3 linked regions of the Macaca fascicularis genome follow. The protein of the gene in region 2 interacts with the protein of the main gene of each other region in a pairwise test. Links are inferred from orthologs where the notes say so. Each region holds a gene or a part of one and is shown on either strand. Other genes may lie near its edges.

What was found.
Region 1: the proteins of SGTA (region 2) and ZG16 interact in binary tests that used the Homo sapiens proteins (3 or more experiments, as listed by UniProt). The two-hybrid records come from large-scale screens. The link is inferred for Macaca fascicularis from reciprocal best matches to the Homo sapiens genes SGTA and ZG16.
Region 3: the proteins of SGTA (region 2) and GRN interact in binary tests that used the Homo sapiens proteins (3 or more experiments, as listed by UniProt). The two-hybrid records come from large-scale screens. The link is inferred for Macaca fascicularis from reciprocal best matches to the Homo sapiens genes SGTA and GRN.

What each region holds. Positions count from the first base shown.
Region 1 is NC_088394.1:28,356,715-28,362,445, forward strand, and holds the start of ZG16 (zymogen granule membrane protein 16), read right to left. Parts: upstream 3,731-5,731; 5' UTR 3,600-3,730; exon of another isoform or gene 3,257-3,599; coding exon of another isoform or gene 2,582-3,256; intron 2,288-2,581; exon of another isoform or gene 2,149-2,287; intron 1,619-2,148; exon of another isoform or gene 1,496-1,618; intron 1-1,495. Other genes in the region: C20H16orf54 (transmembrane protein C16orf54 homolog), read left to right, coding at 2,582-3,256. UniProt on the Homo sapiens protein: May play a role in protein trafficking. May act as a linker molecule between the submembranous matrix on the luminal side of zymogen granule membrane (ZGM) and aggregated secretory proteins during granule formation in the TGN.
Region 2 is NC_088393.1:3,463,420-3,469,155, forward strand, and holds the start of SGTA (small glutamine-rich tetratricopeptide repeat-containing protein alpha), read right to left. Parts: upstream 3,182-5,736; 5' UTR 3,141-3,181; intron 1-3,140. Other genes in the region: THOP1 (thimet oligopeptidase), read left to right, coding at 5,572-5,587. UniProt on the Homo sapiens protein: Co-chaperone that binds misfolded and hydrophobic patches-containing client proteins in the cytosol. Mediates their targeting to the endoplasmic reticulum but also regulates their sorting to the proteasome when targeting fails.
Region 3 is NC_088390.1:65,405,990-65,411,475, reverse strand, and holds the start of GRN (progranulin), read right to left. Parts: upstream 3,731-5,486; 5' UTR 3,698-3,730; exon of another isoform or gene 3,290-3,697; intron 1-3,289. UniProt on the Homo sapiens protein: Secreted protein that acts as a key regulator of lysosomal function and as a growth factor involved in inflammation, wound healing and cell proliferation. Regulates protein trafficking to lysosomes, and also the activity of lysosomal enzymes.

The DNA.
Region 1 (5,731 bases), on a different chromosome or scaffold from region 2:
TAGGCCTTAACTTTGTCATCTGTGGATAAGTGAGTCAAACTAGAGAATCTCAGAAAGTCTCCTGGACTCCAAAGCCTGATGACATTTCGTCACACTCTGCTCTAGACTCCTCCCACCCTCAGCCCCAGGAAAGAGGGACAGACATGAGGCTAGTCAGTGTTTTGGAAACAAGCCCACGCCTGTTTTTATACCCTGGACTCCTCCCAGAGGCCTGACATTTTTGTTACCCAAGCCTCACCTCACTGATATTTTCCAACCAGAATGGGGGCTAAATGGTCTGAAGAGAGAGAGACTTATGTTAATTAAAAGTATGAGGCAGGAGCCAGTGTGGTAGCTCACACCTATAATCGCAGCACTTTGGGAGACGGAGGCAGGAGGATATCCTGAGGCCAGGAGCTTGAGACCAGCTTGGGCAACATAGCGGGAGCCCATCCCTATCAAAAAAAAAAAAAATTTAAAAAAAAAAGTGTGAAGCAAGTTGGTCAAGCAGGGGGTGCCTGTGGGGGCTGGATGGCAGGAGCAGATCTGGGGAGGCACCGTGGATAGGACAAGGCAGGATGGGGTGGGGCATCCTCCCAGGAGGAGCAGGGGGAGGCACCATGGTTCTCTAGGAATGTACGGGCTAGATTACTTGTGTCCTATTTCTTTTTCTTTCTTTTTTTTTTTTTTTTTTTTTTGAGACGGAGTCTCGCTCTGCCGCCCAGGCTGGAGTGCAGTGGCCGGATCTCAGCTCACTGCAAGCTCCGCCTCCCGGGTTCACGCCATTCTCCTGCCTCAGCCTCCCGAGTAGTTGGGACTACAGGCGCCCGCCACCGCGCCCGGCTAGTTTTTTGTATTTTTTAGTAGAGACGGGGTTTCACCGTGTTAGCCAGGATGGTCTCGATCTCCTGACCTCGTGATCCGCCCATCTCGGCCTCCCAAAGTGCTGGGATTACAGGGTTGAGCCACCGCGCCCGGCCTCTTTTTCTTTCTTTTTAAGATGGAGTCTCGCTCTGTCAACCAGGCTGGAGTGTGGTGGCACGATCTCAGCTCACTGCAACCTCTGAGTCCCAGGTTCAAGTGATTCTCCCTGCCTCAGCCTCCCGAGCAGCTGGGATTACAGGTGCCCATCACCACATCCGGCTAATTTTTGTATTTTTCAGTAGAGATGGGGTTTCGCCATGTTGGCAGGCTGGTCTCGAACTCCTGACCTCAGGTGACCTGCCCACCTTGACCTCTCAAAATGCTGGGATTACAGGGGTGAGCCACTGTGCCTGGCCCCTGCGTCCTCTTTCTCAGCTTCTGGGTGAATGTTCTGGGGCCCAGGGCCTGGCTATGGGGTGACACTAAGTTCAACAGAGCCATTGCCCATTCCAGCCCCACCTTACCCCAGGAAAAGCCTCCTCACCGCAGTGACCACATCCCCTTGGGTTGCTTTGGAAACAAACACTCCCCGGGGGCAGGCGAGTTGGGGCACAGTTGCCCAGCAACAGGCGGTGCCCTCCCTTCCGCCTTCATCCGAGGCCCGGCCTCTATGTCTGAAAGGCGGACTGCCCTGCACCTTCCGAGCCTGCATCTCTTAGTCCGGCACCAGGAAGAGTGGCTCTAGGAGGGAGAGGCGCCCAGGGACTGACCCAAGGTGAGTTGAGGGGTGCAGGAGGCCCCTGCAGATGGAGGATGTGGGGGACAGAGAGAGGTGTGCAGAGACGAACAAGAGAGAGAGACAGGCCAGAGCCTGGGCAAAGCTGGGGAACCTGGGAGGGGTGCAGAGGCGCCTCCGGAGGCCTGGCCTGGCCCGGCAGCAGATTCCGCGATTCCACGGAGTCTATGAGAACAAGATCAAGTCCAAGGAGACTGGTAAGGGGCGAAGGAGCCCCAAGGGGCCAGCAGAGGTGGCCGGTGGGAGGCGGTAGGGGAGACACACACAGGGGAGCCGGTCGGAGGGGAGGTTCTCATTTCTTCACCCACCACTTCCTCTCTAGGCCTAAGCAAGACTTGAGGGGGCCGAGTGGGGAGGAAAGAGGCCCTCAAGACCTTTCTGGTCTGAGGCACCCTGGGGTCCGGGAGGGAAATGGGGCTTCTGGAAAGGCCTGGAGAGCTGGGGAAGAGGGCCTGGCTGTGCGCATAGGTAGGCAGCCTGTCCTCCCGCCCCACCTGGCTCACGCTTACCCTTTCTGGTCCCCCTTGCTCCTCTGTCTCTCCAGAATGTTCTTTTTCTTTTTTGAGAAAGGGTCTTGCTCTGTCACCCAGGCTGGAGGACAGTGGTGCAATCTGGGCTCACTGCAGCCTCGAACTCCTGGGCTCAAGTAATCCTCCCACCTCAGCTTCCTGTGTAGCTGGGACTACAGGTGTGAGCCACCATGCCCAGCTAGTTTTTAAATTATTTATAGCGATGAGGTTTCACTGTGTGTCCAGGCTGGTCTTGAACTCCTGGGCTCAAGCGATCATCCTGCCTCGGCCTCTCAAAGTGCTAGGATTCCAGGCATGAGCCCCCGAGCCCAGCCCCTCTCCCAGGCTTTCCTGGACACCTGCTGCCTCTCTCTCATCTTTGTTGTGCCCCCTCTGCCTCATTTACTTTCTCTTCTCGCCCCATGTCTTCCAGATGCCGTCGACTCCAGAGCCGCCCTCTGGGCGCATGGAGGGGCCCCCCACGTGGGAGGCAGCCCCATGGCCCTCACTGCCCTGTGGGCCCTGCATCCCCATCATGCTGGCCCTGGCCACCCTGGCTGCGCTCTTCATCCTCACCACCGCTGTGTTGGCTGAACGCCTGTTCCGCCGGGCTCTCCGCCCAGACCCCAGCCACCATGCACCCACCCTGGTGTGGCGCCCAGGAGGAGAGCTGTGGATTGAGCCCATGGGCACCCCCCGAGAGCGCTCTGAGGACTGGTACGGATCTGCGGTCCCCCTGCTGACAGACCGGGCCCCTGAGCCTCCCACCCCAGTGGGCGTCTTGGAGGCCCAAGCAACTGCCCCATATGCCCCCTCAGCCCCAAATTCTGCTCCCAGCTCCTTGGGCCCCCAGACTCCACCGGAGGTCCCAGCCCGGAGCACCTTCTGGGGGCCCCAGCCCTGGGAGGGGAGGCCCCCCGGCACGGGCCTGGTGAGCTGGGCTGAACCCGAGCAGAGGCCAGAGGCCAGAGCCCAGTTTGGGAGCCCCCAGGCCAGGAGGCAGCGGCCACGGAGCCCGGATCCCGAGTGGGGCCTCCAGCCACGGGTCACTTTGGAGCAGATCTCAGCTTTCTGGAGGCGTGAAGGCCGGACCAGTGTGGGGTTCTGAATTCCCAGGGTTCCCCAGAGACCCGTGAGGAAGGCCCTGCCTCAGTGGGACCAGGGACCCCAGCGTCCAGCATTAGGACTGAGACTGCCCCAGGGAAGATGCCCCTCCCAGGCCCCCTCCACTAGAGTCCCCCTCCCCAGTTCGGGGTGGTGGCCAGGCTGTGTGGACTAGGGGAAGCCGAGCAGTGCCTCTGCTCAGCTGCCTCGGCTGTGGTTCAGAGACCTGGGGGTGGAGCCAACACCAGGCCAGAAGCCTTCAAGATCGCATCAAGATAAAGAACCCAAGGTACCAGATAGGCAGGAAAAGGCATCGACCACCACCTCCACCTTCCCTCAGTATTTACCGAAGCCACCAATACCAAAGAGAAAGGGTCCCGCGGTGCTGAACAGCCTCGGTGTGGTGATGACAGCTGGCAGGAGATGACAGGAATCCAGTTTCCCAGAGGCACAAATCCTGTTCTCCTTGGCCACTCACCCACTGTGAGGTCCTCTAGGAAAATACACAAAGAGAGGACCAGACCAGGCAGAGGAGCATTTTGTTTCAAATGAACTGCGGCTTTGACCCCCAAAATGCAAGGAGGAACTGTGCTGGGCCAAGCTGGAGCGGCGCTGTCTTCCTGGAGTGGGGACCTGGAGTCAGAGAAAATCCACAGGCTCCCTGCCCCTCCTCCTCCATCTGCACACGCCTCAGCTTAGGACCCTCACCACTCCATGGTGAGGAACGCCATGGCCAGGGAGAACTGAGTTTCATCCAATGTGGAGAGGAGTCCCAGAGCAGGGCAGCTCCCAAACTGTGCCCTCTGATCATCGTCCCTTCCAGCTTGCTGGAGTGTCCAGAGAGACAGATTTGCCACAAGCTAGGCTTACTTATAATGCTCCACCCCATAGAAATGGGACCCCAAGTACCCGATCTTCCCTTTAGGAGAGGCAGGTGGGTGAGCAGCAGATGTAGTTTCCATTTCCCTGGAGGTCTAATTTTTCAAACTTCACTTTTTTTTTTTTTTTTTTTTTTGAGACAGAATCTCAACTCTGTCACCCAGGCTGGACTGCAGTGATGCAATCTCAACTCACTGCAGCCTGGATCTCCTAGGCTCAAGCAATCCTCCCACCTCAACCTCTAGAATAGCTGGGACTACAGGTACATACCACCACGCCCAGCTAATGTTTGGATTTTTTTGTAGAGACAGGGTCTCACCATACTTCCCGGGCAGGTTTCCAACTCCTAGGCTCAAGTGATCCAGCAGCCTTAGCCTCCCAAAACGCTAGGATTACAGGCATGAGCACTGCACCCGGCCACTTTTTTTTTTTTTTTTGAAACAGGGTCTTACTCTGTTGCCCAGGCTGGAATACAGTGGCACAATCTCAGCTCACTGCAACCTTGAACTCCTGGGCTTCAGTGATCCTCCCACCTCAGTCTCCCCAGTGGGTGTAACTACAGGCATGTACCACCACACCTGGCTATTTTTTTTTTTTTTTTTAGAGATGGGGTCTTGCTGTGTTGCCCAGGCTGGTCTTGAATTCCTGGGCTCAAGAGAGCCACTCATCCCCAAGTCCCAGAGTGTTGGGATTACATGAGCCACCATGCCCGGCCAAACTTCAGCCTTGAATATTAGTAATTTTGCCATATTAGTTTACCACCTGTACTATTATTTGCTTTATATTTTTCTCTAAATTGGCTCATTATTCACTTATTAAAATTATTGTGACAGGACTCTTTTTTTGTATCACTTCTGTAAATGAAAAATCAGTCTCATTTGCCATCAATAGAAGGTAAAAGATGAAAATAAATATAATGTAAACAAAATTGTTAAGATCTAAATTCTGTTCCCTGATGGAAGCATTGACCTAAAACTCAGCTGTGTTTTTTTTGTTTGTTGTGTTGTGTTTTGTTTTGTTTTGAGATGGAGTCTCGCTCTGTTGCCCAGGCTGGGGTACAATGGCATGATCTCTGCTCACTGCAACCTCCGCCTCCCAGGTTCAATTGATTCTCCTGCCTCAGCTTCCTGAGTAGCTGGGATTACAGGCGCCTGCCACCACGCCCGGCTAATGTTTGTTTGTTTGTTTGTTTGTTTGTTTGTTTGTTGAGACAGAGTCTCGCTTTGTTGCCCAGACTGGAGTGCAGTGGCCAGATCTCAGCTCACTGCAAGCTCCGCCTCCCGGGTTCACGCCATTCTCCTGCCTCAGCCTCCCGAGTAGCTGGGACTACAGACGCCCGCCACCTCGCCCGGCTAGGTTTTTGTATTTTTTAGTAGAGACGGGGTTTCACCGTGTTAGCCAGGATGGTCTCGATCTCCTGACCTTGTGATCCGCCCGTCTCGGCCTCCCAAAGTGCTGGGATTACAGGCGTGAGCCACCGCGCCCAGCCTAATGTTTGTATTTTTAGTAGAGACAGGGTTTCACCATGCTGACCAGGCTGGTCTCGAACTCCCGACCTGAGGTGATCTGCCTGCCTCAGCCTGCCAAAGTGTGGGAATTA
Region 2 (5,736 bases):
CTCACAACCACCTCTCTTCCTTATTTCCCTGCCCAGAATGGATCATTCAATGGAAAAAAACAGAATATCCTCGTAAACTGAGGCCATCTTACCTCCTTACACTCCAGTAGGAAGCGCCCGCTCTTGCCCACCGCCTTCTGTGAGCACTCTGCCCGCCTCCATCCCAAATCCACGTTGCTTCTCACCAACAGCAGGGCAGGAAAGCCAGGTGCCCTGCTCCTCACTCCCTCTCAGGACACCCGAGTTCTAGCTCAGTCCCCTGCCCACTCCCCACATCGAAGTCCACTTTCTTCTAAAATGCCACCAGGAGGTCACTGTACACATAAAAGCCCTCAAGTGCTCCCTGGAACCCCAGGAGTGTGCATAGGAGGCCCCCCCACCAGCTGGGGGTCGTCTGTGGGGCCTACACCAAACCCTGTACGTGCCACTCAAACTCAAGTGCTCACCTCTCCTGCCCAACTCTAGGAGAGAATCTAGTATTCCTGCAAACTCCATCTCTGGCCCAGCATCTCTTACAAGGCTTTCTACCTCTTGACAGACCCAGCTTCCCTTTGAACGCCAGCATCTGGCAGCGTCTAAACCCTATGGACTCAGGAAAGCCTTCGATGGTTGAAAAATTCACAGACACGTGGTCAAGTTCCTTGAAATGGGGAGGCCATTTCTCTCTGGGTTTCTGTTTCCACCTCAGTAAAAGAGAAAACGGGCCAGGTGCAGTGAGGCACGCCTGTAATCACAGAACTCTGGAGGCCAAGGTGGAGGATCGCTTGAACCCAGGAGTTTGAGACCAGCCTGGGTAACACGGTGAAACCCTATCTCTAAAACAACAAAATACTAAAATTAGCCGGGTGTGGTAGTGCACACCTGTAGTCCCAGCTACTCAGGAGGCTGAGGTGGGAGGGCCTGAGCCCGGGAGGTCGAGGCTGCAGTGAGCGGAGATTGCGCCACTACACTCCAGCCTGGGCGACAGAGCAAGACCTTATCTCAAACCACCCCTTTTATGCCTTCGGCCTGTACCGAGCACTTCCTACCAGGGCCACTGTTGGGTCTTGGCAAAAAAACAACCATAGAATTGAGTAAGACTGCCGCTCTCAAGGATCCGTCCAATCTGGGGCAGAGCTCACCCCCATTTGGAATCATTCACCCTTCTAGGAAGATTTAATTATAAACCTCAGCTCAAATCCTTGGCGCGCTTACAGCTTTCCAGGCACCCAGCTAAGTGCTGTACATGCGATAGCTTATTTTAGGGGTCAGCAGAGGTTTTTCTGAAAAGGGCCAGACTGTCTTCAGCTCGGCAGGCGCTAAGGTCCCTACGGCAACTGTTCAACTGTGTCTTCTTAGCTCGAAACCAACCACAGGTAACATGCAAACCAAGGAGTGTGGCTGTGTTCCCACAAACCTTCATTCCCAAAAACAGGCCAGAGGTGGATTTGGCCTTCTGGTTAGCTGATACCTTGCCCGGTTGAATCCTCACACACCTGAGGTGGTTACTTTTATAATCCCCATTCCACAGAAGAAAAACTGAGGCTTGGAAAGATGGGAACCACCCAAGACCACCCAGCTAGGAGGATGCAAATGAGGCGTTCTGAACCCAGGCAGCCTCACTTGAGAAGCTAAACTCCAAAGTGCCCACTTCTCGCCACACAAAATTGGGTGCACACACAAAACTTTGTATACCATTTCCCGGGCCCACACACTCCCAGCTGCCCATGCTGGGGAAGAATCACTGATCTAGGGTAGGTTTTTTTTGTTTTTTGGTTTTTTTTGACAGGGTCTCGCTCTGTCACCCAGGCTGGAGTGCAGTGGCGTGATCTTGGGTCTCTGTAACCTCTGCCTCCTGGGTTCAAGGGATTCTTCTGCCTCAGCCTCCTGAGTAGCTGGGATTACAGGCGCACGCCACCATGCCCAGCTAAGTTTTGTATTTTCAAGAGAGACGGGGTTTCACCACATTGGTCAGGCTGGTCTCGAACTCCTGACCTCAGGTGATCCACCCGTATGGTAGGGTGTGGTTTTTAAAGCGTTATTGACATTCAAAGTTGGATCGTTTTCTGGGGTGGGGCCGTCCTGGGCACTGCAGGGTGCTGAGCAGCAACCCTGGCCTCCACCGACTCCAAACCAGGGGGTCCCCTGAATCGTGAAAAGCACAAATGTCACCAAGAATCTCTGGGGCACAGAATTGTTCCTGGTTGAGAACCACACTGGTCAAGGGAGGGAAAAGGCAGAGAGAACGAATAATCAGAGACAGAAGCAAAAGTAAACGGGACAATGATCCAACCTCTGAGAGGCACATTGCACTGCAATTTTCTGCCACCTAATAACAAAAACAGCTGTTCTCAAGCCAGCTCTCTCTTATCAAGTTCCAGGCACCTGATCAAATCATTGAATGTGGGCTTATCCTCATAATGACCCTCCCAGACATCTGCTTTTACAACTCGTTTACGAAAAAGAAGGTTTGCTCAGAGAGGGAAGGCAACTCATCCAGGTTTACACAGCGGGTGGGTGGTGGTGGTGGGCTGGTTCTGAATCCCAGATTTCCCCCACCTCTAGCACGATATGCAGAAGAAGACTCTAAACATGAAATAAGACGAACGGCTGCTAATTCTTTGGAGTTCTCAGATTCCGCTGGACCCTGCGGCGGCTCTCATTCTCCCAGGCAGGGACTTCTGACAACGCCCGTTTTACAGACGGGAAAACTGAGGCTCCGAGAAGCCAAGAGGCTGGGCAAGGTCACCCAGGTAGGGACTGGCGACGCTGGGACCAGAGCCCCGACTTGAGTCCCCACAAACGGGGGTCCCCGAGTCACAGGGACGACTTTTCCAGGCAGTTAGTAAGAGCGGAACGGCAGCGAACACCCAGCGAGCGCTCAGTACATGCGGGGCGCCTTCCCCTCCAGCCGTCCTCGCCACCAGTCCGCGGACCAGCATTTCCAGGACCTGGGGCCCGGGGAAGGGAGATCAGGGCTCGAAGGGCCTGCCGATGCCGCCCGGCCTCAGTTTCCCCTCCGCTCCGCCTACTCACAGGACCCCGCGGGTCGCGCTGACCCTGGCCTCACGATCCCCAACCTCTTACGGGCTCTGGGGCCCCGTGAGCCCCGAGTCGCAGACCCCACACCCGCCAGGCTCAGCACAGTGCCCCTCACTCACCTCTCAGGCGACCGATCCCCGACCCACCGACGGTTGCGCTTGCGCACCGCGGAGCCGCCCGGCCCCGGCCCCCGGGCGCGACGCCTGCGCAGAAGAAGGGCTCCCCGGGTTGCTTCCCTTCTGCACAGGCGCGTTAATGATCGAGGTGGGCGTGGAAGGAAGTGACGCAACGTAGAGGCGGGAACCAGCTGGTCGTTAGGGCAACTGACCTCTACGACCTAATGGAGGCCGGAAGTCGGGGCTGGTTTGCCCTCTAGGGCGGGAACGAAGCGGTGCACGGTGGAACAGTGGCTGACTCCAGCCGGTCGCCGAGCTGACCACGTGGTGCTGGGCCGGCCACGTGGTGCAGCCGCGTTTGGCCACCTGGACTCCAGAGCGTCATAGCCCCGCAATGAATGGGAGTCAGTGTTGTCCGCTCGCTATCTTTGTTCATTTATTCACCCACCCATCTACTCACCCACAAATGCATTCTTTCATGCAGTCAATTTATGAGACGCTTGTGAGAATAGAAACATTAGTAGGCAGCAGGTGCCTAATATTCCATATTTATTGCAAACCAGTCATAAAAACCAGCAAAGTGTCTACTGTCATTATTTTGCATTGGGGTAGACGAACTATAAACTAATAAACTAGTACATAAGTAGATAAACAAGAAATTTCACAGCTAACACTACAAAAAAAATGAAGGTGGTGTGATTGCCACCGGGAGCTAAGTTGTATGGTATGGGTAGGAAAGATCATCCTTTAGATTTGGATTTCAAGGATAGGAAAAAGTCCAAACGGACCCCAGGCACAGGGAACAGCAAAAATGAAGGCCAATGTAAAAGCTTGGTGTGCTCAAGACATATGGAAAAAAAAATAGAGATGAGAGATGAGAAATTTCCAAGGACGACAGAAAACTGATCACCATCTGAGTTATAATTGACAGAAATGTTCTCCCAATTCATTGTTGTCCTACTCGAAATACATGCACGATTAATGGCGTGGATTATTTTAATTTCTTTTGCAGAAATAAAGAAGGTGAGACCGGGCGCGGTGGCTGACACCTGTAATCCCAGCACTTTGGGAGGCCAAGGGGCAGATCACTTGAGGTCAGAAGTTCGAGACCAGCCTGGCCAACATGCTGAAAACCTGTCTCTACTAAAAATACAAAAACTAGCCGGGCGTGGTGCGGGCATCTGTAGTCCCAGCTACTCGGGAGGTTGAGGCAGGAGAATCGCTTGAACCCGAGAGGCAGAGGTTGCAGTGAGCCGAGATCGCGCCATGGTACTCCAGCCTGGGCGACAGAGTGAGACTCCGTCCAGTCCCTCCAAAACAAAACGAAACAAAAACAAAAAACATAAAAGGAAAGGAGGTCGGTTGCTTCGTTTTTGCCAGTTTAATTGTAGTACATTGTTTTTTCTGGGTGCCATAACAGTTCAAGACAGACGGTTCCAGATGTTTTTTGTTTCAACCCACAACACTGGATGTAGGTCAGGTTACTGCACTGTTCCAAAACACCTGTTATTTGACATGAATCAGTTTACTTGCTTATGTTTCTGACAAAAAATAAACCTTGGCCGGGCGCGGTGGCTCACACCTGTAATCCCAGCACTTTGGGCGGCCGAGGCGGGCGGATCACGAGGTCAAGAGATTAAGACCATCCTGGCCAACATGGTGAAACCCTGTCTCTACTAAAAATACGAAAATTAGCCGAGCGTGGCGGCTCGCGCCTGTAGTCCCAGCTACTCGAGAGGCTGAGGCAGGAGAATTGCTTGAACCCGGGAGGCGGAGGTTGCAGTGAGCCGAGATTGCTGCCACTGCACTCCAGCCTGGGCGACAGAGCGAGACTCCGTCTCAAAAACAACCAAACACCAAAACTTCTGGTTAATGTAATTGATTCGTCTGATTCAGATGCTGGAAAGTGGGCCTGGGATACAGTTAGCGATCGATAATAACACTGGCCCAACACACAGCTATAAGAAGGGAGGCAAGCACACAATAACACGGTAGCCTGAAGCCCAGGCGAAGTTTCCGCGGAAAGAACCGCTCAGACAGAGGCTGAGAGGCGTCAGCGGCGTGCGGTTTCCAAGGAAACCGTCCTTTCTAGCCACCGCAGCGGCTCTGGAGGGGTACCGCAAGAGGCTCCGCCCACGCAACCCCGAGACCAATGACGGACTGGGAGGGTTGAGCGCATGCGCAGAGAGCTCCAGCGTCTCGGCCCGCCTCCTTTAGGTGTGGGCGGGGCTTGGGCACGCGTGCGTCCTGCCCTCCCTGTGCACGCGCCGCCCCAGCATGCCCCGGGTGCGCAGGCGGCGGGTCGCTTGGTCTTCAGGCGGCCGTGGCGGCGGTGGCGGCGGTTGGGCCGAGAGAGGCGGCCTCAGTGGCCGAGGTGGCTGGACGCGTAGCAGGTGGAAGGAGGGAGGGAGCCGCAGGCGCAGACCCACCCGCCATGAAGCCCCCCGCAGGTACCGACTACCCCGCTCGCCGGACCCGGGCTCCCCTGCACCCTCACTCCTCCCGGGGTCGCGACTTGGGCCTAAGGCTGGAGCGGAGTGGTCCCCGAGCCACCCTCGGCCGGGCTGGAGGGGCAGCGGGGGAGGTGGGCGACCCCGCT
Region 3 (5,486 bases), on a different chromosome or scaffold from region 2:
TGCCTTCCCCAGAGGCCAGTCACCACCTGGCCATGAATGTCCCCTCCTCACCCAGGGAAGGGGACACAGAAGGTGGGTCAGCCTTTGAGATACCTGTGTTCTGAGGGTACGCCACACCACCAGGGCTCTCTGAGATTCCCCAAGCATGCTAACCCCCACCCCTGCCTCTCCATCTATTCTGGAAGTAAAACCCAGCCACATGTGGAGAGAGACCACGTGTGCCCACTGGGCTGCCCATCTGAGTCACCAGGAGGAACTGAGCCTTGAGTTTCTGCGGAGAGCAGCCTCTCACTTCCTAAACAACTCTTCTCCCAGGCTCATCTAGCCCAGCTAGCTCAGTGGGGTGGCCAGAGAGGTAACTCGTCCTGAAGAAGCAAAAACAGTAATGTCTGTTGAGCCTCTTGGGAGCCAGTTACAAGACTCTGCATTATTTTATTTCTTTGCAACAACCATCCAAAGTAGTAATTAATACCTTTACTTTACTTTTATTTTTAGAGATGAGATATTGCTATGTTGCCCAGGCTGGACTCAAACTCCTGGGATCAAGCAGTCCTCCAACCTTGGCCTCCCAATTAGCTGGGACTTTGGGAGCGTGCCACCAAGCCTGCTCACCCTTTTTTTTTTTTTTTTTTTTTGAGATGGAGTCTTGCTCTGTTGCCCATGCTAGAGTTCAGTGGCATGATCTCGGCTCACTGTAACCTCCACCTCCCAGGTTCAAGCGATCCTCCTGTCTCAGCCTCCTGAGTAGCTGGGACTACAGGCACCCGCCACCATGCTGGGCTAATTTTTGTATTTTTAGTAGAGAGGGGGTTTCACCATATTGGTCAGGCTGGTCTTGAACTCCTGACCTCAGGTGATCCACCCGCCTCAGCCTCCCTAAGTGCTGGGATTACAGGCTTGAGTCACCACACCTGGCCTCACCTTTACTTTTTTGTTTGTTTGTTTGAGACGGACTCTCCCTGTCTCCCAGGCTGGAGTGCAGTGGTGCTATCTCAGCTCACTGCAAGCTCCACCTCCTGGGTTCACGCCATTCTCCTGCCTCAGCCTCCTGAGTAGCTGGGACTACAGGCGCCTGCCAGCACGCTCGGCTAATTTTTTGTATTTTAGTAGAGACGGGGTTTCACTGTGTTAGCCAGGATGGTCTCGATCTCCTGACCTCGTGATCCACCCACCTCGGCCTCCCAGAGTGCTGGGATTACAGGCGTGAGCCACCACGCCCAGCCACTTTTACTTTCAAAGGAAGAAACTGAAGCTCAGAGATGTTAAGTACAGTCAGCCCTCCGTATCCAACCAGAGATCAAAAAATATTGGGTGTGGTGGCTCACACCTCTAATCCCAGCACTTTGGGAGGCCTAAGTGGGCGGATCACGAGGTCAGGAGTTCGAGACCAGCCTGACCAACATGGTGAAACCCCCATCTCTACTAAAAATACAAAAATTAGCCATGCGTGGTAGTGCACACCTGTAATCCCAGCTACTCAAGAGGCTGAGGCAGGAAAACGCTTGAGCCCAGGAGGTGGGGGTTGCAGTGAGTGGAGGAGATCGTGCCACCATACTCCAGCCTGGGTGATAGAGCGAGACTGAGATTCCGTCTCACAAAACAAAACAAAAACCCCAGAAAATGTTACATTGTTGCTGAGGTATACTATGTAGTTAGGCTTAGGATGGGTGCATCTATACTGAACATGTACAGATTGTTCTTTCTTATTATTCCCTAAACAATTCAGGATCACAACTATTTACATGGCATTTCTTTTTCTTTTCTTTTTTTAAATTTATTTATTATTATTATACTTTAAGTTGTAGGGTACATGTGCATAACGTGCAGGTTTGTTATATATGTATACTTGTGCCATGTTGGTGTGCTGCACTCTTTTTCTTTTCTTTTCTTTTCTTTTTTTTTTTGAGACGGAGTCTTGCTCTGACGCCCAGGCTGTAGTACAGTGGCGCAATCTCAGCTCACTGCAACCTCTGCCTCCCGGGTTCAAGCAATTCTCCTGCCTCAGCTTCCTGAGCAGCCTCCTGAGTCTGCTACCACACCTGGCTAATTTTTGTATTTTTAGTAGAGATAGGGGTTTCACCATGTTGGCCAGGCTGCCAGTCTCGAACTCCTGACCTCAGGTGATCCACCCACCACAGTCTCCCAAAGTGTGGGGATTACAGGCATGAGCCACCGTGCCCAGCCAACATGGCATTTCCATTGTATTAGGCATAAGTAATCTAGAAATGATTTAAAGTATGTATAGGTTATATGCAAATATCACACCATTTTGTATCAAGGACTTGAGCACCCAGACTTTGGGGTCCTGGAACCAGTTCCATGAAGATACCAAGGGACACCGATAACATGTCACACATCAGGTCATGGTGACGACAGGCTTTGATGGCCCCAGAGCGTATTGGACCTGGGTTAATATCACTAGTGGCACAATGGGCAGTGCCTGAGAATGGACCCCTACGCCCCAGGGGGATAGGTGCAACAGGTACCACAGAAACAGGGACTGCCTGGAAATCGCACTTGAGTCCTAATCCTGGAATTGCCAACTGTGAGGGCCTGAGAAGTTGCTCCCTGTCTGTGCCTCAGTTCCCCCACGAGTCTTGTGTGGATATCATTGGAGGGGGGAAGGGCAGGAAATGTCACCCACCCAGTCACTCACATCCTCTCTGCTCCAATTGGCTTTCCTCAAGTGCCCCTCCCCTAACTCAGCATCCCGAAGAGGCCACCTCCTGGACAGATAAGGATGCAGTTGACTGGTCCTGGACAGTGGACCCTCTCCTCAGCCCCACAGCTCCCAGGCAAAGCACCTGCAGCTGGCACCGCCTACTTCCTGCGTGTTCTCAGCAGGCTGTCCGCTGCCCTGGCTTGCTGGGAAGGGGAGTCTGTCTGCACAGGAGTGTTCAGCTCTCTGGTGAGTTACCTGTGCATGGCCCCTCCTGTTTACCCTGAGTTGAGGGAGTATAGTGTATGCTTCTACTGAATACATGCACACACATACAGAAACAGGGATGAGGAGGCGAGTCGCAGTCTCTCACGCCACCCTACACCGCCAAAACAGCCAGAGGGGACAGCAGCCTCTTCAAGACCCTAGCTCCGTTATCTTCCACTAGGTGGCAGCCCCCAACTCCGAGTGCCAAGGGGAGAGGAAATTCCCAAAAGGGGAGCCAGCCTAGCTGCAACTGAGCAGGAAAAAGTGGCTGGGAGAGGCGGAAGTTAGCTCGTCCCACCCCCAAAAAGAGGAAGTAAGGAGGAGCCAGACCAGGTTCAGTCACCACTCCCAAGTCCCTACTACCTTCGAGAAGCCAAGGTTTCAGGTCCCGTTCCCAGGCCCTCGGAGCTCCCAGCCCAGGGTCGCGCGCCCCTCCGGCTTCAGGCCGCCGCGGGAACCACCCACCACCACCACGAGAGGGAAAGAAGCCGGCACCTACCGACAGGGGTGGAGCTGAGTCAAGAATGGTGTGGTCCCTGCTTTGGGGGAATGCTGGGGAGGTAGAAAGCCCCCTTCTAACAGAGGTCACTGCAGTTACTGCTTCCTCTTTCCCATAAAACTCCCTCTAGTGTATCAGAACCCCCAAGGAGTTTCAATAAGCGGTTCTTGTCTTGTCTCCGGCTGAGACTCCCGGGGAACCTCAAGCTCACATGGCCCTAGCCGGGCCCCTGGGCAGGAGCAGGCCAGAGGTCTGCGCGGCCGCCCTCCTACCTGCGTCCGGGTCCGCGGTCCCTGGGCAGCAGCAACCGGGCAGCGCTCAGACTACAGATCCCAGCGCGGTGACCCGCCTACCTCAGTTTCCATTGGCCAGGGATCAGGGCTGCCGCACTCCCATTGGCTACTTATCAATGTGGAGGTGGGGCCAGCCTGGAATGCTGTGTTTCTTTTCTACTCAAATCACTCTCCTCCCCGCTTCCTCTCGCCCTACACCCCATTTCTAGGGATCATGTGATTGGAAAATCATGTGACGCCGGGCCAGCCTCAGCAGGGCAGCTGGTGCTCGTCGCCTTCCTTCACCCATCCTGCAGGTGCCTGGGGGAGTTTGCTAGAGATGATAGCGCGTGTCTGGGGCATTGACAGTGCGAGGGACTGTTATGAATTGGGAATATTTGTGCTCCTCTTTCTATTCTTTTGTTTGTTTGTTTGTTTTGAGATGGAGTCTCACTCTGTCGCCAAGCTGGAGTGCAGTGGCACGATCTCGGCTCACTGCAACCTCTGCCTCCCGGGTTCAAGCGATTCTCCTGCCTCAGTCTCCCGAATAGTTGGGACTACAGGCGCGCGCCACCAAGTCCAGCTAATTTTTGTATTTTTAGTAGAGACGGGGTTTCACCATGTTGGCCAGGATGGTCTTGATCTCTTGACCTCGTGATCCGCCCGCCTCGGCCTCCCAAAGCGCTGGGATTACAGGCCTAAGCCACCGCACCCGACCTTGTGTGTTTGTTTTAGAGAAAGGGTCTCGCTCGGTCGCCCAAGCTGATCATAGCTCACTGCGGCCTGCAACTCCTGCTCCCAAAGCGATTCTCCTACCGCAGGCCCCCGAGGAACTGGGATTACAGGTGTGAGCTACCGGGCTCACTCGCTCCTATCCTATCCTATCCTGCCCTGTCCTGTCCTGCTCTATTCTGCAAACTCGGATGACATGCTAGGCAGGGCCCAGAGTGAGTTGAAGGATGGTTTCCAGGACAAAGATAAACAGCCCAAAAGCCCTTTCCTCCAGGTGCTCAGCAGGACAGGGGGCAGGGATTGGTGGGAGACAGTCTCAGGCTGAATCTAATTTAATATACAAGGTCGTGCGCCAGTTGCCAGGTGTGGGAGAGGAAGTAGATTGTCTACAGGTGGGGAAGAAGATATTTCATTCCACCTTAGAAGCATCTCCTTGAGCTGAGTTTGGGAAGATTTTAACTGGCAGGTGGAGGAGGTGGTGTTGGGAAGAGCCTTGGGAAACCAGATGGGAAGGGCAGGCTTGGCAGGGATTGAATGCTATGTTCAATGCCAGTGGGCTTCAGGAGCTGCTAGGTGCCTGGCACAGGCAGGGCTGTGGCGGGGGCTGTCGAAAGGGAAGTGGCTTCCTAGTCTCCCCTGGCCCTGCCTTCGAGGAATTGATATGGGAGGGTGAGGAGAGAAAATGTACCACAGAACACATTAGCCAGTGACGAGAGTCAGGCTGCTCAGTGCCAAAGGGCCTGGGCCAGGCAGAGATGGGTGATGGGAGATGGGCCAGGAGAGAGGAGAGGCCCAGGGAAAACCTGGTCCTGGGCTGTGGAGGAAGGGCAGTGTCTGCACAGGGGATGGAGACTGCTGCAGCCTGAGCAAGACACTGGAGCTGAGGGTGAGGCGGGGGCAGGGGGACAGCTAGCCAAGCTCAAGGCAGCAGAAGTCGGAGCAGGGAAAGGGTGCCAGCCAAGCTGTGGAGTCGTGTGGCAGGGGTTCTAAGCCTGGAGTTAGAGCAGACCCAGACAGTGGATAAGACACCTGGCCTGCTGAGGACCTAGGACTTGTC